Arabidopsis thaliana: one gene and its partners. The protein of the gene in region 2 interacts with the protein of the main gene of each other region in a pairwise test. Each region holds a gene or a part of one and is shown on either strand. Other genes may lie near its edges.

What was found. Proteins that work in one complex are often made in the same cells at the same time.
Region 1: the proteins of MORF9 (region 2) and RGL3 interact in binary tests that used the Arabidopsis thaliana proteins (3 or more experiments, as listed by UniProt).
Region 3: the proteins of MORF9 (region 2) and RCN1 interact in binary tests that used the Arabidopsis thaliana proteins (3 or more experiments, as listed by UniProt).

Annotation. Positions count from the first base shown.
Region 1 is NC_003076.8:5,761,593-5,769,244, reverse strand, and holds RGL3 (RGA-like protein 3), read left to right. Parts: upstream 1-2,998; 5' UTR 2,999-3,357; coding exon 3,358-4,929; 3' UTR 4,930-5,256; downstream 5,257-7,652. Other genes in the region: AT5G17500 (Glycosyl hydrolase superfamily protein), read right to left, coding at 2-198, 290-616, 933-1,180, 1,462-1,866; PC1 (pollen calcium-binding protein 1), read right to left, coding at 6,305-6,556. UniProt on the Arabidopsis thaliana protein: Probable transcriptional regulator that acts as a repressor of the gibberellin (GA) signaling pathway. No effect of the BOI proteins on its stability.
Region 2 is NC_003070.9:3,843,687-3,851,312, reverse strand, and holds MORF9 (plastid developmental protein DAG), read right to left. Parts: upstream 4,094-7,626; 5' UTR 4,041-4,093; coding exon 3,679-4,040; intron 2,903-3,678; coding exon 2,805-2,902; intron 2,708-2,804; coding exon 2,642-2,707; intron 2,548-2,641; coding exon 2,375-2,547; 3' UTR 2,089-2,374; downstream 1-2,088. Other genes in the region: AT1G11440 (uncharacterized protein), read right to left, coding at 804-1,895; DUF2 (agenet domain protein (DOMAIN OF UNKNOWN FUNCTION 724 2)), read left to right, coding at 4,441-4,875, 4,968-5,369, 5,475-5,561, 5,651-5,770, 5,838-5,922, 6,047-6,732; AT1G11410 (S-locus lectin protein kinase family protein), read right to left, coding at 7,029-7,355, 7,449-7,593.
Region 3 is NC_003070.9:8,948,060-8,957,556, reverse strand, and holds RCN1 (ARM repeat superfamily protein), read right to left. Parts: upstream 6,396-9,497; 5' UTR 6,247-6,395; intron 5,884-6,246; 5' UTR 5,858-5,883; coding exon 5,465-5,857; intron 5,371-5,464; coding exon 5,124-5,370; intron 4,928-5,123; coding exon 4,815-4,927; intron 4,682-4,814; coding exon 4,602-4,681; intron 4,381-4,601; coding exon 4,239-4,380; intron 4,156-4,238; coding exon 4,075-4,155; intron 3,893-4,074; coding exon 3,788-3,892; intron 3,703-3,787; coding exon 3,520-3,702; intron 3,439-3,519; coding exon 3,346-3,438; intron 3,176-3,345; coding exon 3,036-3,175; intron 2,937-3,035; coding exon 2,870-2,936; intron 2,781-2,869; coding exon 2,658-2,780; 3' UTR 2,397-2,657; downstream 1-2,396. Other genes in the region: AT1G25500 (Plasma-membrane choline transporter family protein), read left to right, coding at 235-692, 790-973, 1,088-1,315, 1,401-1,517, 1,616-1,849, 1,941-2,120; AT1G25480 (aluminum activated malate transporter family protein), read right to left, coding at 6,681-7,295, 7,582-7,728, 7,822-7,958, 8,058-8,327, 8,429-8,566, 8,751-9,090. UniProt on the Arabidopsis thaliana protein: The A subunit of protein phosphatase 2A serves as a scaffolding molecule to coordinate the assembly of the catalytic subunit and a variable regulatory B subunit. Seems to act as a positive regulator of PP2A catalytic activity.

The DNA.
Region 1 (7,652 bases), on a different chromosome or scaffold from region 2:
CCTGTGTGCGGTGGTTGAATGACGGAGAGCCTACGGAGATAAGTATAGTTATGAACATTATGCCAATTCGCATCTAACATACCGTAAGCTTCAACTACACCACGTTTGCCTTCGCGGAAATAATAAACTCCCGTAACCGCCCAAACCGCCCAATCCAAATCTTTCTCGGCCGCCCATGCCAACATACAATTCATGTACCTAATGGTATACGGTTGATAAAAGTACTTTAAGCTTTGATTGGTAAGCAAATATCTAAATGTAATTATAAAGGAAAGCCTTGGTCGAGAACCTGTTTCCTTCAAGATCGCCACCTCTTTGATCGGTCCCAAACTCGCTCAAGAACAAAGGAAAGCCTTGGTCGAGAACAAAACCGCCGGTACGACGCTCCTTAGAGAACATTTGGCTGCAAAAGTCGTTGACATTGTGTGACTTCCATTGACCAGTACCGTCAGTGAAAGAATACCAATGAAGCTCCAAGACAAGTTTTTTCTTGAAGCTAAGATTCACTGGACGATCTTTTAAGAAACTTAGGTCAGCATCGAAGTTAAGCCCTGAGAGTATGACCAGTACGTTAGGGTTTGATGTATGCACTGCTTCTGCTCCTTTTTGCATGTACCTACATGTGGAAAAATAATAATCATTTTTTCTATTTAAAAAAAGGTTAGAATCAAGTTAATTTATTATTTATATGCGTTGATTCTTGTTGTTAAATTGATGGACATTGGATTCCTATATTAACCAATATAAATATATATTTTTTAATGTACTTGTACTTAACTATTATTGTGGATTTAATTATGTATAGCACAACGGAATATAATCTGTTAAGATCTAAAATAGACAGATAATTAACGTGTATTAATTTCCTTGGCCTTCAAGCTTCACATGGGCGTTATGATAAATAAATGAAAATGGAATTTATAAATACGTACTTGTACCAATCTTTTGATGTATGATTGTAGCCTCTAAGTTCATTCCTCAGGCTCATACCAACAACGTTTTTCACGTTCATAAATATTGTGGCCATCTTCTTAAGACCCAACATCCATAGATCCGGGTTGAATTTTGGGTCGCCAAAGAACGCGTCCGGGTCATCGTTGCTACAACACCACCCCGGTACGGTCTTGTGGTTGTCAAGTATCACCATCACATCATGCCTCCCAAGACTATACACCACAGCCTACACAAACATGTTGCCTTGCGTTAGAAGATATCATATAGTAAAAACAAGAAGCATGTGAAATATATTTTTTTCATTACAACGATGATCAGATCTGAAAAGAAATGGAAAAATAATCATTATTGCAATATAAGATAAAACATGTTTTAGTCATATTTTTCAGTCACAAATGACTTATTTAAAAACCATGGATTTTTAATTGAACATGAAAAGAATAGTTTTTGTTTGAGTTGAAGAAATTATGTAATACTAGAATCACATGATTAATTATGTATTTATACCTGAAAGACATTGATGAGAGGAGTATTGACAATGTATGGATTGTGAGTGTAAATCCCTTGAAGCTCATGATCCAATCCATATCTCTCAAATGATTGTTTCACGGTAACATTAAAGGCTAAAGTGTCATTAATCATTAATTCAAGTGGCCAAGTGAGCCTAACACAATTGAATCCCATGTCTTTTATCTTTTTCGATATTGAATCCATTGGCTGGCTGCTCAGCCCCTCTGCTACCACTGGCTTGAGGTGCGAAGGCCAGTTCGCGCAAGCTAGCTTCACGCGGTGGCCCTTGTTGTTTACGATCCATCGAGACTTTGTGAATAGTGGATAATCTGTTGCTAGGGTTAGAGATATTAATGACAAGAATAAGAACAAAAAGACAGTTAAAGCGATTGCTTTTGCCATGCTTATTTCGTTGTGACTGTGTTTTAGGAAGATCATTAAGTATATATAGAGAGTGAAATCAAGGGTTTTTGTCACAATGATAGGGGATTTGTTGAGTTTCTTTTGTAAGATAATTGACTAAATATTTCAGGGTTGGTTACTTAGTTTGATGATAGGTTTCAAAATGTAAATAAATGAGATATTTACGGAACATTGTGGATAAATATCTTCTTACCACACGTTTTGGATAGTGTAGTTTTTTTTATTGTTCGAATAATTAAGAGGATAATTAGTCAATGGATCATCCGCCTAAAATGTCGAGAAAGTAACTTGGGTAACATTTCAAAACGTATCCGGCCATTAAATAGTCTCGTCATTTATTTGTTTCCCTCAAAATTGCCAATATATCAACGAACGAAGGGTAATATACTAATATATTTAGCTTGTGTATTCATTCGCTAAGTCATATAAAATTACTCGAAACTTTATTTTATACAGGATTATACATTATTTTCACAAAACGGAAAATAATAAGCCATTTGTACTTAGACCAACAAACTAATTCAAGAGTGAAATCTATTTTTATGTTCAGTTCTACTCTATTATAAAAATCTTCTATATATGTAACTATCATGTTTAAAATGATGTTTTTGGTATGGGGAATAAAATTCAATTTACACACATAAAGAAATGAAAACATAATAATAATAAGAAAGCAACGTAATGTTGTAGACGTCTGATACCTAATGTCGACTGCCGCCACATGTCGACCGTGAGGTTGGTCACGTTGTCTCCCTAACTGCAATACTTTGAGCTGTACTTCTATCGGGACCTCTATTTTCTTCTCAAACTTTTTTAAAAATTAGTATTATTTTATACCATTTCGGCAAACAAATTATTAGGAGATAGTATCATTTAAAAAAATAAATATCAAATTTTGTCAGTAAAATTATTACAGTATGTCACGTTAACTAGTTAAAATTTTGTTATAGAAACAAGATACTTGAAGAAAACGGGCTGTTACTTTCGGAGTTTACAAGTTCCATTTCTCGAGAAGAACTATTTGGGTTATCAATATAGGTCATATGATATGACTAATATCTACTGCAGCACCCAATTTAATAATTCTAGAAACTCTAAATTCAACATTTAGTGGGTATTAAAAAATAGTTTAATAGACTATGACAGTCCATTGGACCATTAAACAAAAACTACACGCCCTTATCAGAGCGACGAATTTTTTGTAACTTGGATCAGAAATTCAATAAAGTTATAGTAATAAAAATGAAATAATTTGGAAAAGAAAGAATAGAGAAGAAAACACATGCGAAATTATAATGGCCTGCCTCTCTTCCTTCTTATCTCTTTTACTTACACTCTCCAGGTCCCTCACTTCCCTCATTGGACCTCTCTAACTCTCCTCTCTTACCTTCTCCTGTTTAAATTCTTCTCCTTTCTTTCCACAATTTCTGTCTAACCAATTCCAACACCAAAAAATTCCATTTCTTGACGATGAAACGAAGCCATCAAGAAACGTCTGTAGAAGAAGAAGCTCCTTCAATGGTGGAGAAGTTAGAAAATGGTTGTGGTGGTGGTGGAGACGATAACATGGACGAGTTTCTTGCTGTTTTGGGTTACAAGGTTCGATCTTCAGACATGGCAGATGTTGCACAGAAGCTTGAACAGCTTGAAATGGTCTTGTCCAATGATATTGCCTCTTCTAGTAATGCCTTCAATGACACCGTTCATTACAATCCTTCTGATCTCTCCGGTTGGGCTCAGAGCATGCTCTCGGATCTTAATTACTACCCGGATCTTGACCCGAACCGGATTTGCGATCTGAGACCAATCACAGACGACGATGAGTGTTGCAGTAGCAATAGTAACAGCAACAAGAGGATTCGACTCGGTCCTTGGTGTGACTCAGTGACCAGCGAGTCAACTCGTTCCGTGGTGCTTATCGAGGAGACAGGAGTTAGACTCGTTCAGGCGCTAGTGGCCTGCGCCGAGGCGGTTCAGCTGGAGAATCTGAGCCTCGCGGATGCTCTCGTCAAGCGCGTGGGATTACTCGCGGCTTCTCAAGCCGGAGCCATGGGGAAAGTCGCTACCTACTTCGCCGAAGCCCTAGCTCGTCGAATTTACCGGATTCATCCTTCCGCCGCCGCCATTGATCCTTCCTTCGAAGAGATTCTTCAGATGAACTTCTACGACTCGTGTCCCTACCTGAAATTCGCTCATTTCACGGCCAATCAGGCGATTCTAGAAGCTGTTACGACGTCGCGTGTCGTACACGTAATCGATCTAGGGCTTAATCAAGGTATGCAATGGCCGGCGTTAATGCAAGCCTTAGCTCTCCGACCCGGTGGTCCACCGTCGTTTCGTCTCACCGGCGTTGGGAATCCGTCGAATCGAGAAGGGATTCAAGAGTTAGGTTGGAAGCTAGCTCAGCTGGCTCAAGCCATCGGCGTCGAATTCAAATTCAATGGTCTAACGACGGAGAGGTTATCCGATTTAGAACCGGATATGTTCGAGACCCGAACCGAATCGGAGACTCTAGTGGTTAATTCGGTTTTCGAGCTTCACCCGGTTTTATCCCAACCCGGTTCGATCGAAAAGCTGTTAGCGACGGTTAAGGCGGTTAAACCGGGTCTCGTAACAGTGGTGGAACAAGAAGCGAACCATAACGGTGACGTTTTCTTAGACCGGTTTAACGAAGCGCTTCACTATTACTCGAGCTTGTTCGACTCGCTCGAAGATGGTGTTGTGATACCGAGTCAAGACCGAGTCATGTCGGAGGTTTACTTAGGGAGACAGATATTGAACTTGGTGGCGACGGAAGGAAGCGATAGGATCGAGCGACACGAGACGCTGGCTCAGTGGCGAAAACGTATGGGATCCGCCGGGTTTGACCCGGTTAACCTCGGATCAGACGCGTTTAAGCAAGCGAGTTTGCTATTGGCGTTATCTGGCGGTGGAGATGGATACAGAGTGGAGGAGAACGACGGAAGCCTAATGCTTGCGTGGCAAACGAAACCTCTAATCGCTGCATCGGCGTGGAAACTAGCGGCGGAGTTGCGGCGGTAGATACGTCGTCATAAAGAGGAGAAGAAAAAAGACTTAGCGAACGTGACCTTATGTTTTTATTTTACTTTAACTTACCCCAGTAGTTTCGTTTTGTGACAATTTCGCCCGAAATATTCCGTGCCTTATACTTTTGGGACCCAGTTGGTTCGTTGGTCGTGGAGATTCGAGAACGAGGAACATGTGTGTATGTAACAACAGCACGAGCAAGTGTTTTCATAGTTTGAATAAATATGAAAGAAATGACGTTTATTTTATTTTTTGTCAACGAATTGACGTTACGTTTAATTTCACCCAAAATATATACAAAATGACGCATGAATGAATTTGGACCGACTCGATTATTACATAGAGGCTAACGTTTCTGGGAGATGATGATGATGATAGAAGTAAAGAAGCTAAACCTCACTTGAGTCTTTTTATTCTGAAAAGCCGGAGTCCAAACTCTACTTTTGGGTTTTTTGAGAGGTTTTCATTGTCAGCTTTTGATCAAGTGGGTGAAACCGTTTTGCTTAGGAATGTGTAAAAGAAAACTTGATATTTACTACTAATTTTATCACCACTTTTGAAAAATACATGTATTCATAGAAAGATATGATAAAGTTGGACCACATTCTCATTCTCTAAACTCACTTTAAACATGGCAATGTTTAAATATCCTCAAGTCTTGGAACATCTTCAGACTTACCATTTCTTGATTTTACCCGTAACAACACTTCAATATCTGAGTAGTCAAGACTAAACAATCCGAACAATATCAGCTTTTGATTTTATATAAATATAACTATATAAGACTTCCTAACAAAGAGGAACATGAGTCCCACAGCCACAGCATGTCGTAATCGATGGATGAGACGGCTGTGTAGGCATAGTTATTGGTTTCTCCGGCTAAGTCCTAACATGGACTTAGGAGAAAGTTTGAGGTGAGACCGAGAGGATAGGCGGAGAGGTTTACGTTAAAGAGAATGCATCCGCAATATATTTACTTTTTAAGTAATTCTAAAAATGTAGTTACTTTATTTTATATCAATGATTTAAAATGTATATGCGAGAAGCCTAAACCAAATAATGAACTTTAAGGAACAAAACAAATTATGAATGTTTTGGTTCTCTTCACTGTTAAAGCCATTTTTATATCTTTTTAAAACAAAACATTCGTTGTTGTGGTGTTCAACAAACCAAAACAAAACAAACTAGCCCCCTTTTCAAGAATGATCCACTCACATCACATTACATGGAATTAGGATACAATCATATAAATTAAAACTCACCAAGTGTAAAAACAACAAAAATAAGAATTGACGATGCTTAGAACCAAATCTCTCAATATATATAAAAAAATTCAAACATTTCAAAAGTAAAAGTATGGCAAAAAAAATTAGAAAATTTTGGCAACATCCTTCATAAGTCCACGATTGGCACCTGCAAAATCAGTGAATTCTTGATACGATATGTTTCCATCACCATCAGTATCAATTTCAGCCATCATACGTTTGACGTCATCAGCTGTTACCGAACCAAGTGTCTTAAGAGCTTCTTCGAGTTCGGCTGCTGAAATTTTTCCGTCACCATTAGCATCAAATTTCTTGAAAATACGGTCGTGCTCGGCTTTCTCCGTTGCATCAGCCATAATGTCTTGGTGAATATGTGGTTGTGTGCGCGTTTTTATAAGATGAAAACAATCTTTCTTTTTATTGGTGGAGGAATAAGGAAAAATCAAATTATATAAATCTTTGAGTGGAATGAACAGTTGAGGTTGTGCTTTTACTTAGGAACTTTTGGAGGAATGTTTAAACAACAATTGAACGAAATTGGTCCAAGTTAAAACCTAAACTTAGCAAAATTAGGATGTGACTTGGTCTTGAACAAAATTTAGATTCAAGTAGCTAATGGATTTATTCCATTATCGAATTTAAATCTTAATCTATGGTTCTGTCTCTGTTTATAATACTTACAAATCATTTCTTAAAAATATTTATTTCTTACCATCTCAAACTTTCATTAAGATTGGCTGGCCATTAACTAGACCAAGAAAATTTCCACTATTTACCTCTATCTTTTGTGTATAAATATCTAAATATTTTATTATTTTATATATTTTAAAACTACATTAATTAAATACACTTAGATGTTTTAAGAAAATAAGAAACTGAATTTACAAAGTAGTGGAATCATTATAATACTTTGATGTATTCATTAAAATGTAGCTAAAATCTGTAAACTATACAAAATAAATTTGATAAGACAAGAAAAATATGAAAAGTATTCTTTTGGAGATTTAGATCAATATCTATAAAATGTACCTTTGATAAACACAATATATCTTTTTAACTGTACTAAATATTTACATTATATTTACAAAATTTATTGTTGACAAAATAAGCACATCTACATCTATTTAAAGATAATAAGTAACAAAATCTATTAATTAACCAAAATCACTGCATTTCTTTTAATCATCCAGACCAAAAATGCTAAAGGAGATCTAGTCACACAAGTCTTACATTGTTTCAGAGTTAACAAGTGTCTTGTGAGTTATTACCACATACCCATTGTGAGAACTTAGAAGATTTTGTACATTACTTCAGTTTTTATCGTCTCGGCATGTGCTATATATGTTTCTTTTAAGAAGAAAATTTATGGATTTGATTATCAGAGAAAAAAAGGATATCTTACTTTTGTTTTTTGTTTGTTTTCCAAACCTATAATGGTTTAGGATTCGAAAA
Region 2 (7,626 bases):
ATGACGCACATGTAAAGCTTTCATCAATCATTTTAAATTTTGTTTTAGTTAAGAAGTAGCATGTCATTGAACCTTATTAATATCGCGTGTAAATACGGTATTTTGTTTTGTTTTCTGTATTTGCATATTGTCTATACGTAGTACAGTTTTGAAAATTCCATATACTTACATGCTCAGGTAAACAAGTTATACATCCACAAAAATAATTTCTGCAAAAAAGTATATTTACACATAATTTATTAGTCAACATGTTAACGTCTCAAAAGAGTTTCCAAAAACACAAAAAAATGATATTCTTTTGAATCGGGTACTAATTTTCATTTAAGATAATCAAGAACCCCCATGGTGTTCATTGTTTGTTATTACTTATTAGAGTGTTCTTCAACTTCAGCTAATTCATCTTTATCGTTGACTTTTCTACTTCTACAATTTCTTCTGCACTTGTACTCACAGTGATAGATATTAGATATACCATGATACAATTCTTTCATTTATTTGGTGTTTTTCACAAAGAAATGTATATATACCAATAATAATTACGATGGATACAGTAATCAATTATCACATCGAGTGTAGTATTTAAAGATTTTAGATTTTAAACAAACGTGTTAAAGAGAATGTTACAAATAGAAAGGTTGAAGATAGATTTTGCGTGCGACGTTTTATTATTAAGTAACCCCTCCTCGTTATACAACAGTAAATCTCATCTCTTGTGTAACAGATACTAAAAAATCAGGTTCATCAATAATCAAAAGAATGTTGTTCTTACCTCACATTGACACAACTGATGATAACTAGGGTTGTTAATACATCCGGTAACCATAAGAGGAGACCTCGAACTGATTTCTTTCGCTCCGATTCTCGTAACCGTACGGATATGAATCCCCGAAAAGGTGATCGGAAGTTGTCTTCCACGGATCAGAATCGTTGCTTTCCCAGCAAGAAACAGCAGCCCCACGATCTTGTTCATCTTCCTGACGTCTTTTGTTACGTAACACACAAGGAAAGTAACCTCCAAATATAACCTCACAGAGATCGGTCGCTTCTAATCCGTAACCAGACGGAACATACAAAGCTTTCACTTCTCCTTTATCTACGACTTCATATTCCTCATTTCCATAGCTTGAACTGTGATCTTTTTCTTCTTCTTTAGCTTCCTCATCCCCTTCTTCTTCTTCTTCATCATCATCATCACCATCATCTTCGTCCTCACTTTCTTCATCATAATCTTCGTCTTGTTCTTGTTCTTGCTCTTTAATGGTTTCTATTGGTTTGACTTCTTCTACCGGTTCAGCAAAAGACACACGTTTCTTGACAACATTCTTTTGACCACCATCATAAATTCCAAGAGGAACAGGAGCAATAATCTCAGGAGGAGAGGGAGCTTTAGCGTGAGGAGCGGTTGAACAAGGGTAACAAGTTTCCACCGATGGAGGAAGAGGTTTTCCATAGGTTGCAACAACATCGTAGCCACCACCGTACGGCGTGGGATCGTATTCATCGAATTCCGGCTCGTTGAAGTCAAGAGCAGAGGCTACAGAGCAATAGATACTAAACTGAGGAGGAGATTCGTAGGTTGTATAGAGATTCGGATCATAGAACAAGTGTTTAGGCTCAGACATGGTAGAAACAGAGTAAGCAACATATGCAGAGGTTGTCTCAGACTCGGATCCATTCCAGTTATAACAATTATAACTCATTGGATCATCATAACCAGAGTAAGCAACATATTCAGATTCAGATTCAGATTCATTCCAGTTGTAATAATTATAACTCATTGGTTCGAAACCAAGCTGCTGCTGCTGTTGATTGTAATGATAATGATTTTGATCGTAGAGATTATTAACCTGATTGTAATCGTAAGGACTCTGGTAATTCTCATAGAAGTTGGCCATTTGAGAGAGCTTGAAGGATGATCTTGAAAGTCTTTCTCTGCGGTTGATGAGAGAAAACGATTCAGCTGAGCAGTGATCTGTCGATTAAACTAATTTGGAATGTTTGGTTCCAAGTCCGTGAGAGAGTAGTGTATTATTTCCATGTGATGTGTTGATAAGGTAGGGACGACTGATGTAGATGGTGAGTTGGTGACGAGTGTGTGACCCTACAATTGTTTTGTCTTGTCTGAAATTGGTGTTGAGAAAACGTGGGGAAAAAGCAGTGGTTGACAAAGAATCAAACCAAACCAAAACCGAACATTACCTAAATAAACAAATGGTTCAAGTTGAATTTCATCCTAACATAACAATAGCTATTGTTCAAGGTGTGATGATACAGTATCATCATTTGGTACTAGACGATTTTACACACGACTTCAACAAGCTAAGTGCTAACCAAAAGATCAAAACTTGCAAACACTCCATTATCTTATTATAGTTTAAGAGGAATCAGAGGCTGCTGGTTCTTGTCTTGGTTTCCTCTGTTCAGGAGGTGGAGGACCGTCTCTTTTTCTTTCGTATCTCTTACTTTGATACTTAGTGTTATTGCGCTGCTTTGGTTGGTATGTTGGGTATGTGCACGGGATAATCTCTCCATTGATGTACTTGTCGCCTAAACCCGAGAAAGAACGATTCAATTATCAGAACATGGATACTGGGAGAGAGAGAGATCCTAGAAAGTTTAAAATCAGGCTTTGATGGGTTACCTCCATAGTCTTTGTTCTTGACATCTATGTAGGAGTCAGGCAAGACCCAGAGAACTCCAGGCAAACCTGTGAAAATAATGAAAAGACAGAACGATCAGTATCTTGAAGGTTTTCGACGAACTTTCAATAAGGGGACTAAGGCTCTTCTTGCTCACTAACTAACCCTTGAACTTCTCAGATGTTTCTTCGTCGATGGTGCATTGGAATCCAGTATATGTCGTGGTACTGAATGCATACATGTTCTTCTTCGCCTCTTCCATGCTGGAAAATAGACACAAGTACATATAATAAGCAAACACGATGAACTGGTTATGCTGGAAAATGGACACAAGTACATTAATTGGTTATCACATCAGCAGGATAGTGTAAACCGGAATCAAAGTTCTCTAAAATAGAGAGTAGCACCAAATAAACTAAAGTTTTAGTCATTAGTTGTGTAACACAAACTCGTTCCCTGCCATACCAAGAAATTTCTAGTCAGGAGTCCCAATCTAATGCTCTGCACAATTGTACACTCCTTTTACATACATTACTAGCTTACACTGTCCACATCAAGTTTTTAACAAACAGAAACCATGCACAATCACCTACAATTTATACATAGCTTGAAGAAAATATGCAAAAATAGATGCTTCTATTCTTCCCCCTAATTTCATTCATAATTACGCTAAAGAGCACAAAGTTTTAGATATCAAATCAGACACCAATGTTTTGTGTTCAATATGCAGCAATGTTCAATAAGTTTGCACATATCAAGAGACGAAAAACAAGTCAGCTAAAGATTACACCTGATATTAAGAACAAATTCTGGAACTAGGTCAACTTCAGAGCAAATTTAAAGCTGAAAGCTTTACTCAGCTCACTAAACCCTTACCCTAAAGTATCATCAAAAACCCTAATCTAACAAAAAACCAAATCTTCCTATACGCAACATTGGATTCAATCAAAGGACAAGTCCATTAGCAACACAAGTAAATGTCGTCTATTAGTTAACTAATTCAACAACGAAGAGAATCAATAAGAAAGCGAAAACGAACCTGCCAAGAACAGTAGCAAGAGTGTTAAGGTAAGTATCAATCATCTGATCCCTACTTGGCGCTGGATCTTTAGGAAACTCCATTACAATGAGCCAATGATTGTAATCGCAACCAGGAAGCATAATCGTCTCTCTCTGCTCATTGCTATTGCTCCGTTTCGACGAGTAATCCGAATCCACCGTCGCAGCTTTCACAATCGCCACTCGACGCCGAGACCCAGCGGTGGAGATGTTCCGGAGCAGAGGAGTCCATGAATCGCCAACGCGGATACCAGAGAGTGTAGAGAAACGATTCAGGTGGCTTACGGGGAGAAGAGTTTTGAGGAGAAGCGAGGAAGAAGAAGTTGTTGTGAAGGAAGCCATTGCAATTGCTGAAATCGAAGAGAGAGTTTTGGAGAAGATAAGATATATTTTTACTTACCTGCTTCGTGATGAGGATCCTATGAAACGACACCGTTTTTAATTAGGCCCATTAGATAGTTTGGGCCTGATAATTTCTTAAATCATTTTCTCATAATTTCAAGCGCCAAAAAAAAAGAAAAGTAAATTGGGAAAGAAAAAAAGAAAACACACTTTCCCCGATGTGTATCGTGAATATCGACACTAAGCACAGACACAGTAGCACTGTGTTTTGGTTGCAAAAAGTCTCCTTCATATAATCATATCTATGGTTTTCGGGTTTCAGCAGAAAAGTCTTTTTTTAGATTTAGGGTTAGCAGAGCAAAAATGAGCCGTTATTAGTTTTCATTCAAGGGTTTTTGAGATGGAGCAGATGATATTCATTAGAAAAGACGACAAAGTAGAAGTTTTTTCTGAAGAAGAAGAGTTAAAAGGGTCTTATTACAGAGCGATTCTGGAAGATAATCCAACGAAATCAGGACACAATAAGCTTAAAGTTCGTTACTTGACGCAGCTCAATGAACACCGTTTGGCTCCTTTAACGGAATTCGTCGATCAGAGGTTCATTCGTCCTGTCCCGTCGGAGGATGTGAACGACGGCGTCGTTTTTGTAGAAGGCTTGATGGTCGACGCTTATCTCAAAGATGGGTGGTGGACTGGTGTGGTGGTAAAAACAATGGAGGATGAGAAGTTTTTGGTTTACTTCGATTGCCCACCAGACATTATTCAGTTTGAGAAAAAGAAATTGAGGGTTCATCTTGATTGGACCGGCTTCAAATGGATCCGACCTGATAATAAGGTATGATGAGTTTTTTTTGAAATCGTTTCGCCTTTGCATGAAAAAGTTGTTAACTTTATCCGTTGTTGTATGTTTGTTTTTTGTCTTTGAAGGAATTGGTCAAGTCTGTTTTTAGTTGCGGGACAATGGTGGAATTGAGATTTGATTGTGCTTGGATTCCGGTAATTGTCATTAAGGAGTTGGAGAAGGACAAGAGGTTTCTTGTCAAGTACTGGAATAAGTCCTATAGCTGCCGGGAATCGAAAAATTTAATTGTTGATTCCCTAAGACTAAGGCCTATGCAGCCTCCTTTATCTGTTGGAAAGTATGAATTGCTGGATCATGTAGAGGCGTTTAGTGGTTTTGAATGGCGTCAAGGTGTGGTCAGGGGAATTGTCTTTGAGGGAAGGTACATGGTAAGTTTCGGGGCAACAAAGGAGGCATCGCAATTTAATCACTCTGATATTAGGCCTCCAATGGAGTGGGAAGATGGAGTTTGGCATAAAAGAACAAAGGTAAATTGTATCACTAGTTGCAGGCAACATTGTGTTGGTTTGGTTTAATTAGTGTGACATCTTTGAGGATTAATTGAAGTGTTGTTATGTTATTTCCATTTTCAGCCAAAACGCCAGAAAGAAACTTCTTTAGACGGCAACAGAAATGTGCAGACAAAGGAACCACCGGGAAATGAGATGGCTGATGATGTGGTATATGGTCATAACCCTGCTAGTGGATTCTTTTATAACCTTGTTTGTTTTCTACGCCCTGAAATTGTTCTATGGTCTTTGTTTTCCAGAAAAAAGAATCTGGTTTACCTATAACCCTGGGGGTAACTGCAACAAAGAACAAAACCCAAGGAAAGGTATCCCCTGTGCCAATGAAGAATGGCTTTGGAAATGAGTCAACTCGAGAGAAGGTATTGTTTATGATTGTTATTTATCTTTGAGATGGCTCTCCTTTTGGTTTAACACTTCTATGCACAGATGCCTGAGGAGCCTAAGATCAAATATTATACTCGAAAGAGGAAAAGAGGAGGTCTAAAGCTCAATTCATACATCAATAAGACTGGTATGTCTTAACTCTCATTGCACATTCTGGAATGTAGGACCCGCTTGCAATGGTCTCATTGTACTATTACTGGTAGATAAGCCTTTATTTTCTCATTGTGTTGTGTATGCGTTCATCTGTCCAGTGTTATCCTCGGATCGGACCCCCAATGTGGTGAAGAATTCTGCTTCTAATGCTGAGGAAAACCATGCAAAACACACAATAATGGTTTTGCCTTTTGCAAAGAAGTCACCGGTCTGGAAGACTTATGAATCACTGGAGGTCTTCAAAAGTGTATCACACAGTCTTCATTTCAGCCCATTGTTTGAGACTAAGCAAGATTTCCGTGAAGGGTATGCAATAGGTATGATGGTGACTTATTTTGGGTTACTGGAGAAATTTAAAGATCTTGAAGCCGACGTTCCTGTAAGCCAACTAAATAGCCTTAAAGATTCATTTTCGGAGCTCGAGAAACATGGCTTCAATGTTACAACTCCATTATCACGGATCGACAAGCTGTTAGCACTCAAAGATAGACAACTATATATAATGGAGGAACTAAAAGGTTTTGACAAGGAGATGACAAATGAATTTAGCAAGGCTAAACAAGAGTTTGATGACATGGAACAAAAGATTCTTGAGGTGAAACACAAGATTATCGAGCTGCAGAGGCAAGAAGCTGCTCTAAAAGAACAAAAGGAAGCAGAAAAAGAACAGAAAGATGCAGCCTGGAAAAAGATATGTCAGATGGAGTCATGTGCAAAAGATCTCAATGTAGAGCTTGAAGATGTGGAGTTTGAGTTTGAGACAATTTTGTCGGCTCCTTGGTAAGTTAAGAAAAACAAACCTATGGTGAGCACTTTCTAAGTTGATTTAAAGATTTTTATGAGATCATTATTAATATGGTTGGTTAGTGGTTGATAAAAGTCGGGTTATGTAGAGAAGAAATGAAGCTAACCATGTAATCCCCTGTATAATGAGGCTAACTTTTCTTTTCATTAGGTATTTGTAAACTTTATACAAATAAGTTTGCATACGCTTTAAACACATAATTTTCTATATAACAAGTATTACTATAAATTGATACCTATAGTCTTCTTAGATTATAAAGAAGAGGAATACACTTCTTAACGACCTTGAACATCGGTGAGAGTAACGTCGTTAATAGTACTGCTGGTTTCTCCGCTGGGCCAATTATCTGAGCTGCCGCCAGTTTTGGTGTTTCTCCTCCTTCCCGCCGTAAATGCAGGATGCTTCGGAGATGGAAGATCAATGGCGTTATGACCTAACATGAAGACAACAGAGGACATGTCTGGTCTGTCTGAAGAGTTTTCTTGCACGCAAAGTAACCCAATGTGTAAGCACTTCATTACTTCGCCCTCATCATACGTCTCTTCACCCATTAATTTGTCTATGATCTCTATAGCTTCACCATTTTCCCATCGATCCCAAATCTACAAGACGAAGAAACAAACGTTTGCTTATGTTCTGTTTTGCTCCTCTGTATCCCCAAGTTATGTCAAAGAAAGGAAGAAGTTTTTACTTACATGTTTGACTAGATTCAAAGATTCCTCATAAAAAGCACTGTTTCTCTTTCCGGTTATGATCTCTAAGATCAATACTCCAAAGCTGTATACATCGGATTTAATAGAGAACTGGCCGTCCATTGCATACTCTGGTGACATGTATCCACTGTGACAGTGAGATTGAAACGACCTTAAAGAT
Region 3 (9,497 bases), 5.1 Mb from region 2:
ATGTTAAGAGCGATTGGTTACTTTGGCTTTGTAACTTTAATCACGGGTCAGTCGCAAAGTTTTTTCTTTTTGATAGAAAATGTGTCTTGTGTGAGTTTGATCACTTTATGTATTTGCATTGTACTGATATGAAGTTTCAGAGTCGTTGCTTATGTTAAAGCATAGCTTTTTGTAGGTCTCAGACTCGTCCATGATGTAATTTGAATGAATCAATGTTTTCATTTTGATTTGCAGAGTCTTCAGCGGAGTCGAAGGAGTGGAGATGGAAACCGAGCCGTTGTGCGTGAGTCCCGCCATTGGCATGATGTATTCTGGTCAGCCATCTTTGTGATCCACTTGATTTGTTTGGGATTTGTGCTCGCGGTGCTTGGACTCAATAGGTTTAGAATATCAGATAGGTTAAACATCGATAGGTACACTCAAGGGTTCTTGGAGAATCATAAAGGTCTAACAGAGGATTACTGGCCTCTCTATGCTGTTGCTGGTGGCATTGGAGTCTTTATCAGTTGGGTTTGGTCATTGCTGCTTGGCTCTTACGCCAATGAGATGATGAAAGTTTCGGTTCACATCTTAACAACCTATCTAGCTGTAGTTAGTGTACTATGTTTCTGGTGCAGACTGTTCTTTTGGGGCGGTGCATTCGCTGTTGGATCTCTGTTGCAGTTCTTGTATGTTATTTCAGTTATAGACAGGTGCGTCCGAGGTTGAACTGGTTGAACTATGACTGAACCCCTATGGTCAAATGGCAACAACTTTTTAGTTCTGATGATTTGAGTTGTTCATGTGTAGACTTCCTTTCACAATGCTGGTCCTACGGAAAGCGCTGAAATTAGTCTGGGGACTTCCTAAGGTGATAATGGTGGCACATGCTTTCACAGTAGTCATGCTTTTGTGGATGTCTCTATGGTCTTTTGGAGCAGCTGGTGTTGTGGCATCGAGCATGGGCGATGAGGGACGATGGTGGCTTCTTGTGGTGAGCTGGCAAGTTTTGCATTTTTACTCACGGTTTCTGTTTTCTGCTTTAAGTGTCTGAAAGTAAACATGTTTAGAATTCACTCAATCATTGGAACATATAATATATATGCAGGTTCTTTCGGTTAGCTTATTCTGGACAGGCGCTGTGCTATGTAACACTGTCCATGTTATAGTTTCTGGGATGGTGTTTCATGTTCTCTTTCACTGTGGTCAAGAAGAGTCATCATCGTTGCCTCCTAGCTCTTTGGTAGACTCACTTAGGTATGCCGTGACAACATCTTTTGGGAGCATATGTTACGGTTCACTCTTCACTGCTGCCATTAGAACACTTCGCTGGGAGGTAGTCTCCAGCATCCTTTGCTGTTCGTAAAACATTATCATTGCTCCTCTTGTTAATAACATTAGTCTGCAACTTTCTTTTGCAGATAAGGGGATTCCGGTCCAAGATTTGTGGAAACGAATGTTTACTTTGCTGCGTTGATTTCCTGTTTCATCTAGTTGAAACACTAGTTCGTTTTTTTAACAAGTATGCATACGTCCAGGTATATATATAAATATAGACAGTTTTTAAACAAGCTCATCATCTCCCTCCTATGAGCAATGAGACTCAGAATGAAAAAAACGTTTGGTTAATTATCAGATTGCAGTGTATGGAAAAGGATTCAACAAATCAGCAAGAGACGCATGGGAATTGTTTCAGTCGACAGGTGTAGAGGCACTTGTTGCATATGACTGCTCTGGTGCTGTACTTCTGATGGGAACCATCTTTGGAGGACTCATCACAGGCTCTTGCATTGGTATATGGGCTTGGATCAAGTACAGTGACCGAGTTATAATGGTTGCATCTACGGCTATGTTGATGGGAATGGTTCTTGTGAGTTTTCTTTTGTGCACTCTTTTAGTCACCCAAAAAATTACATGACCAACTTGTTCACTTTGTTTCATTGATCCAATGTGGTGTTCAGGTGGGTTTAGGAATGGTGGTAGTCGAAAGCGCTGTGACATCGATATACATATGTTTTGCTGAAGATCCTTTGTTGATTCAGAGATGGGATGCTGATTTCTACACTGAGATGTCTGAGGTGCTTCACCGTCGTCTCCAACATCGTAGCTCGCGAGCCCGTGAAGTTTTGACGACCGCTTGATTAGCCTATGCCTCCTCTTGGAAAATAGGAGATATAACTGTAGAATATTATGCTATTAGAGGGTGCTAAAAGCGGGCTAACCCTTGTGGCTAAAATTATTTTGTCAAATGATTTATGCTTTCTATTTGTTGAATCATGAATAGGAGGCTGTGGGCGTTTGTATCAAAATCTAATGTATTGATTTTTGTGTTTATTAGAAAAACAAAATCAATTGAATAGAACAAAGTTGATCTAGAGGGGTTGGATAAAGTTTGAAACAAGAACTAGTCAGAAGACCAAACATAGCCACACGCATTTCACTCTATCTCAAATAGTTTCACTAAGGGAGTAGTGTTAGCATTAGTAAACTAAGAAGAATGTATAAGGTTTGGAACAACAGAAAGTGTAAAAAAGGTAATACAATTTTACTAACAAAAATAGTTGCAGTTCATAGCCAGCAACCAAAATGGCGTTTTACACAAACAAACCAAATAAATTGCAGAGAACACGAATAATAGAAACTTAACTTAACGATCATACATATGAAAAAAAAACAATTCAGGATTGTGCTGCTGTGGAACCATCGATGGAATTAAGTGCTTGATTTGCAAAATAACGAACATCAACATCAGGGTCTTCGCTCAGGTCCACCAAACACTGACGGATTGTTTTGTCCACCACCTACAAATTTTTGACACGGCAAAAACATTAAAATTCAACAATTTCCATTAGTTTTCGATATAACTGAGTTATGTTTGTTATGATCGTACTGATTGGTCGACTATGGGGATGAGGGATTGCAGAAGTTTGGCAACGTTGAACTTGATGTTTGGAACTCTGCAGAGATAAGAGGTGTGCAACAACAACACATTAAAAACTAAGAAGTGTTCTTAAACTAGTTTGGCTTATTCATATCCTCTAATCTATCTATTGTACCTGTCTTTTGATGCTTCAACAACCACAGGAAGAAACTTAGAGCATGTGATTTCTGATCCCATTACAGGCGCCATGAGAGATATTGCGCGTAGAACCATCATCCTGTGTAGGTAGTGCGGATTGTTGACCATGTCCAATACCTGTTTATATGATAAAGGTCAATCTGGAGATCTCAATATTTGCAGCTTTAGTGATATCCAAAGAAAAGGGACCAAAGCTGGAGATTAGATGTTATAGGTGAGGTACTTGACATAGATCAACAATAAGATAAACAGACAGATGGTTTTAGTATAAAATGCTCAAAGAATACCTGGGGAACTAAGTGCTGCATTGCCCATTCAGGACCAAACTCCTCTGCGAGGCGCTTTAGGTTGTTTGCTGCAGCTTCGCGGATAGAGTAGACCTGAAGGAGGAGAACAGTGTCAATATCTACAATAACAAGTGAATGAGAAATTTATGCAAACATCAAAGATTCAAGGTAAACCTTGTCTTGCAGCCATTGCATGCAAAGGGCTCCGAGCTTGTCATCGAAAAATCCTATACCTAACTGGCTGGCCAACAGTGGAACATACTCTATTATTGCAAGTCGGACTCTCCAGTGCCGATCCTCAGCAAGTTCTACAATGGCCGGTAACAAGGATTGAGATAGTAGATCAATTCCAATAACCTGCCGTAAAAGATAATTCAGTCACCAACTAAATAAGGAAGCAATAAAAGTAGTATCTAAAGCACACAAGAGAGATGCAACAAACCTGGTTGACTTGATCTAACTTGCTTATGATGTTAAGGCGCACATCAGGAAATTCATCTTTCAAAAGGGAAAGAAAAATTGGTAACAGATGCTCAATGGTTGAGTCCTGTATTGAAAGATTTTAGTATGTTAATAATTTTTTGATAAGGTCTGCAACACCAGTTGGGGCTGGTATAACCACGCCATAACACAAGGTATGGCTGATTTTGTTGATGAAAACCATAAAACAAATTAAATCTCAGAACATTGTCACAAGATGCGAAAATGTTGGCTATCTTCAGTTCATACCTTCCCAAGGATAGGAGCCATCCCCATTATTACTGAAGCTAGAGCAGAGCGGACATGTTGAGAAGAATCCGATGATAATTCCTGCCAGACATCAGTATGTATCAGAATATTACGAGACAGGGGACATCAAACAACTCGTTTATATAGAATTTAAGGAGTCTTACCTTCACACAAGGAAGGATGTGCTGAATCGCAAGCTCTGGATTCAAAAGCCGACAGAACTTGGTCACTTTTCCCGCTGCTGCTATTCGCACTTCAGCCTCATTGTCCCTTAGCAATCTCACATATGCTGGAACCAAATCCGTCCTAGAGATATTATAACATAAATTGTGTCAAAATAAAAAGATACATGTACAAACATAGAACTACCATGGAAGGCTCTTATATGAACGAAAAAGAATAAAGAAAACTTCCAATAGACGCTCTTAGATGCATATTTGTTTGAAGGTCACAAAACTGTTTTACGAGAACGAAAGCCTAGATTAGCAAGGATGACAAAAAAATCAACAATGTCACAAAACACATACCTCGTGCAATCAGGACCCACTGCCTCACAAAGTTCATATAGCTGATTAGCAACCATGTAGCGCACCCTCCAAGATTTATCCTGCTCTCAGAAATCAATACAAACACCATAGAAAAACATCAGAACAGCAAGCTTTTACCGATGAAAATTAAACATGGAACAGCAGACAATTAACTGAAAAATCCATGAATGAAAAAAACAAAGCTCAATTCACCTGAGAGAAATTAACAATAACAGGTAAAATGCGTGCAACACAATCCTGAGGTTCCAACAACTTTCCAAGAGCTGCACACCCTTCAACAGCCAATAGTCTCACAGAATCTTGGTCTGAAATGAAGGTTAAAGTTTAACCAATATAAGCACAGATAAAACAAACATTTCTGAAGAGGTAAGTATCCAATATATTTCATCAAACAGCGTTTATTAATTCAAATGTGATCTCTTTACCATACTCTTGGGTCTATGCAAACTATTTCTAAGTGATGAGCACATATAAAGTACGATATATTCAAACATTAAGTACCATCTTTAGTAAGATCATCGAACATAGTCATGATCTCAGCAATCAAAAAGGTAGACTCGACAGTTGTAGCAAATTTCCCCAGGTTAGATGCAGCAGCTCTTCGCACCATTGGCATATCATCTTTGCACAACTGGCTATAAGTAGCCCGTAACTCAGTCTTCAACACATCAGTGCAACCTTGGTATGCAACATGAAATATACCACATGCAGAAACTCTTGCTGCAAACCATTCACCACCCGCTAACCTCTACAAGACAAACAACAAAACAAAAAAAAAAGCTTTGATTGAACCAACTAACAAAACGGCGTAATCTAGTGCTACATAAATCTCCTAAACTAACCTTCACAAGAGGAACAAAAGATTCAACAAGATCATTCTCTTTCATCTGAGATCCAATCTTACAAAGCGATTCCACAGCTTTTTCTCTCACACAAGTCTCTTCAACAGTACATAGAGATTCCAAAGGAGGAAGAAGAACATGCGCAAACTCAATTCCTCCAACAAACGGAATAAAAACTCCTAACTCCTCAGCCATTGCAAGAAGCACCTCATCGTCATCGTCACTATTCTCACTCAAAAAAGGGATTAACTCCTTCCTTGTACGCTCCTCTCCAAGAGCACGAGCTATAGTAGATAAGCGACGGATCGAGTTCAAACGAAGCTGAATATCATCATTCTTAAGCTCATCTATAAGCACAGCAATGGGATACAACGGTTCATCTACCATAGCCATCTTATGTGAAAGTTCGAATCAAATCACTGCAACACCAAAAATAATTCCTATGAGCTCATTGCTATAAGAGACGAAACAATAGATATTTTCGGATCTCGAATAAAATATTTAGTAATAAATACGAGAAATCATTTACAGATCCTGGGAAAAAACAATTATAGCCACTCGAGTGTTATCTTCGGCTTTATTGATTTTTCTCTACTTGCACAAACAGATTAAGACTATACTGCAGATTTTGAAACGAATCGGGTATGAATAAAACAGAAGAAGCGAGAAATGGGTTCAGATTCACCGGTTCGAAGTTGGATTAAAGGGAATGTGAATCGGAAAATGAAGGTTTAGAGATGAGATCTTATGATTCGTTAAGAAGAAACTGGAAATCAACTTACCGATCCAGGCGTCGGAGAAGAACTGCTTCAGATTCCCAGGAGCGAGAAAAGGTGAGAAAGAGGAATTCGCGAGCGAGAAAAATAATATTCTGCGTTTGATTTTTTTTTACGAAGGATTTATTAAAGGGAAAGATATAAAATGACGAAAGTGTCTAATTGGGCCATTTTGGGCTTTCTTAGGATTGGGTTATGTTGGGCTTTAATCAATTTTTTGCTTTAAAAAATTAAACAGTTGATTCAATTGATACAATGAAAGAAAAACAAAACTTTCCAATTGAGTTTATGACTTTGCCAAAACAAAACAAAAAGGAATTAGGAACTTATTTCAAGACAGCAAACAAACAAAGCAATAATGTATATAATTTTCTATACAAAATCAACTATATCCCTGGAGCTGAAGCAGCTACTGAGTCTGGTCCAGAGTCCAGCTTTTTCTATATCCGTGTCTCGCTAACTTGTTCTTTGAAATCGGCTTTAGTGCTTAGTTCCTCATACGCGTTAACAATATTTTGGAGCCTTGCAACAAACTCGATCAAAAGAGACGCAAATGTAGCTAGCGACAAAGAACTCGCACTTTCATATACTTTGGATTCTATCTCATTGATCATAGAACCGCCTATGAAAGAGACGCTTGGCCAGTTTTCGCGGTTCCTAAGCATCATACTCTCTGTTGATATCCATAGCTGAGAATCATTACCAGCGTGTTGATTCTGATGATGAGGGTTGTTGTTATTGTCCCATATCTGGCTGAGGGATTGAATCACTTTAGACTCGTCGTCTTTGGCTTCGTGATAGTTTTGTTGCGCTTCTTCAGCTTCGGCTTTCTCTTTCATAGCAGCCCAGCTTTCTGAGTTGACAAGTAGGAAGGAGTTACTGTCTATTTTCATCTGTAGTTCCTCTGCTGCTCTTTGAACATCCTTGAGAACGTTCCCTGGGCTTAGCTTCTCCATTTTCTCCACCTTTTCTCCAAACAACCTCAAGACTTTGGCTCCTTCGTTTCCAACTCTTTGAAGTTCTTGACGAAAAGCCTGCCTTTTTTCTGGAGCTGCCTGCAAATCCCACACCAATTGATATCACAAGTCTTATAGGGCATACGACAAGCATTGAACTCAAAGAAAACCATTCACTAGTAACAACAGTAAACTAGGAGATCCCACTTTGCACCTACTCAACAATTATATGACAAATATCCGACTTCTCAGAGTAACAGTCTAGTTAATCACGAAGAGGTACTAGTAGCATTTGAAGCAGGTTGGTATAGTCTCTAATAACCATTATAGCACCTCATTTGCTATGATAGATAAAGTTGTATTTAACAAGAATATGGTAAGTTACCTGAATTTCCGAAAGAATGCAGCCATGCATTGCCATGACCATGAAAGCGCAGTGCCTTACTGCGCCACTAAGTTTGACGTAGTTTGCCCATGGATGGTGGAAAGTCTTATATGGTCCATGTGGAGGCTCCCATACTGCAAAATCAAGCTGAGGAAAAAAGAGGTCATCGTATCTTATCATCTAAATCCTTTTCAAGTTATCTAGTTGCTGCTCAACAAAAGTGTCCTAAGGAAAACACACCAGAGAATCTTCTTGGCTCGTAGATTGGACTACAGACCTGTATCCACTGTATAATGGATCATCCGAAGCTTGGTAAGTGAGAATCTTCGAAGGAATCCTCTCGTATTCAACACATTGCAAGTACCCATTAACACATCCTGAAAGTTTTAGGAAAGCACAAACAAAACAAGACATAAAAAAACAGCCAAAACCCGAAACGAAACAAGAGAAAACAGCCATTTGACGTATCTCTCTACCTTCAAGTGAATTGGCCACACTTTTGAAATTCTTAACAACTAGTTTATGGAGGTCTTCTCCAGCCCAAATGGGAAGTATAAATATGTTCACACCCAAACAGATACCAGCACCAACCAGGATAAGCAAAAACCTATAATAAGCAGTGCTAAAAAAATCTCTAGAGTTGTTTCCAGACACAAGAACAATACAGTATGTCAACAAAAACACCCTGAATGCATATTCATACGACTTCATCGCCGGGTATAGTTTCAAATAACTTGCAGAAAAACCTGATAGACAAACCAACAGATTCACAAGTATCAAAAATAAAGTTAGTATGTTTATTTAAAAAAGGTTCATTTCTAATAAAAATTGAGAGAAATAGTGCAACCTGCAATGAAAATACTGATAATGATAATGAGTTCTTCAAATTCTCCAGCTGAAACAGAGAGTCTAGCTATGCCAAGAGCAAGTCCTCCAGCAGAGAGTGTTCCTATAGCTCTATTAAATCCTTTGACCAATGTTGCTCCTTCAAAAAACAGAGTTAGAGCCAAATTAGATCTCTGAAGACAAGTAATCCTAAGACAGATCTAATGAGAATTTAGATCGAAGAAGACGAAAGTTTTGATTTTTAATCAAAATCCGGAAGATTTGATCGAACAACAACAACCCCAGAATCGATCTGAATCTATAGAATTCGTGAGTCACAGTACCTATACTATACTCAAAGACGACGACAACAGTAAGGATCGCCCAAACAGCATACTTGCTAGCGTCACGGAGTGGTTCTTTAAGGTAGATGACGAAAGAACAGAGTGCGAGAGCCATCCCCATCTTAACGGAGAAGTAAACTTTCCGACGATCGGAACGACCCATCTCGTATAATTTAGCACCGATGTCGTATAAAGCTTTCCAGGAAGCAGTGATCCCGTCGGAGCAAAATCGGAAACACCGGAACTTGGAACGACGGTCATCGATGATGTTTGAATCATTGAATCCGAAATCTGAGCAAGCTTTTCGAGAGAGAAAGGCTTCTCTAGTTTGGTCAGCCATTTGCGTTGATTTCTTCTTCCAAAAGATCACGATTTCATAAACTGAGAGTGAGATGAGATGGTTCGATCAGATGGATCCCACTTTAGAAGAAACCTTAATTATAGTGGGGTCCTGTAATGAAAAGGGGTGAATCATGTTTAGAAAGATTCCGAAGCTATAAGACAACATATAATTTAATTAGTAATAGTATATGATTTTCATTTGTAGAGCAAAAAACAACATGATTTGGCCGTCCATAAAAGATGTTTCTTGTTCTATATGTATATTGTTTCTTACGAAATTTTAAATATTTGAATTTGAACTCATTTAAAGAAATTTGGAAGTAGTCAAATCATAAAAATTTGTATTTTTAAGGACATTGAAAAGTACGATATTTTTTCTTTCTTACCAATATTAGGCATATCACA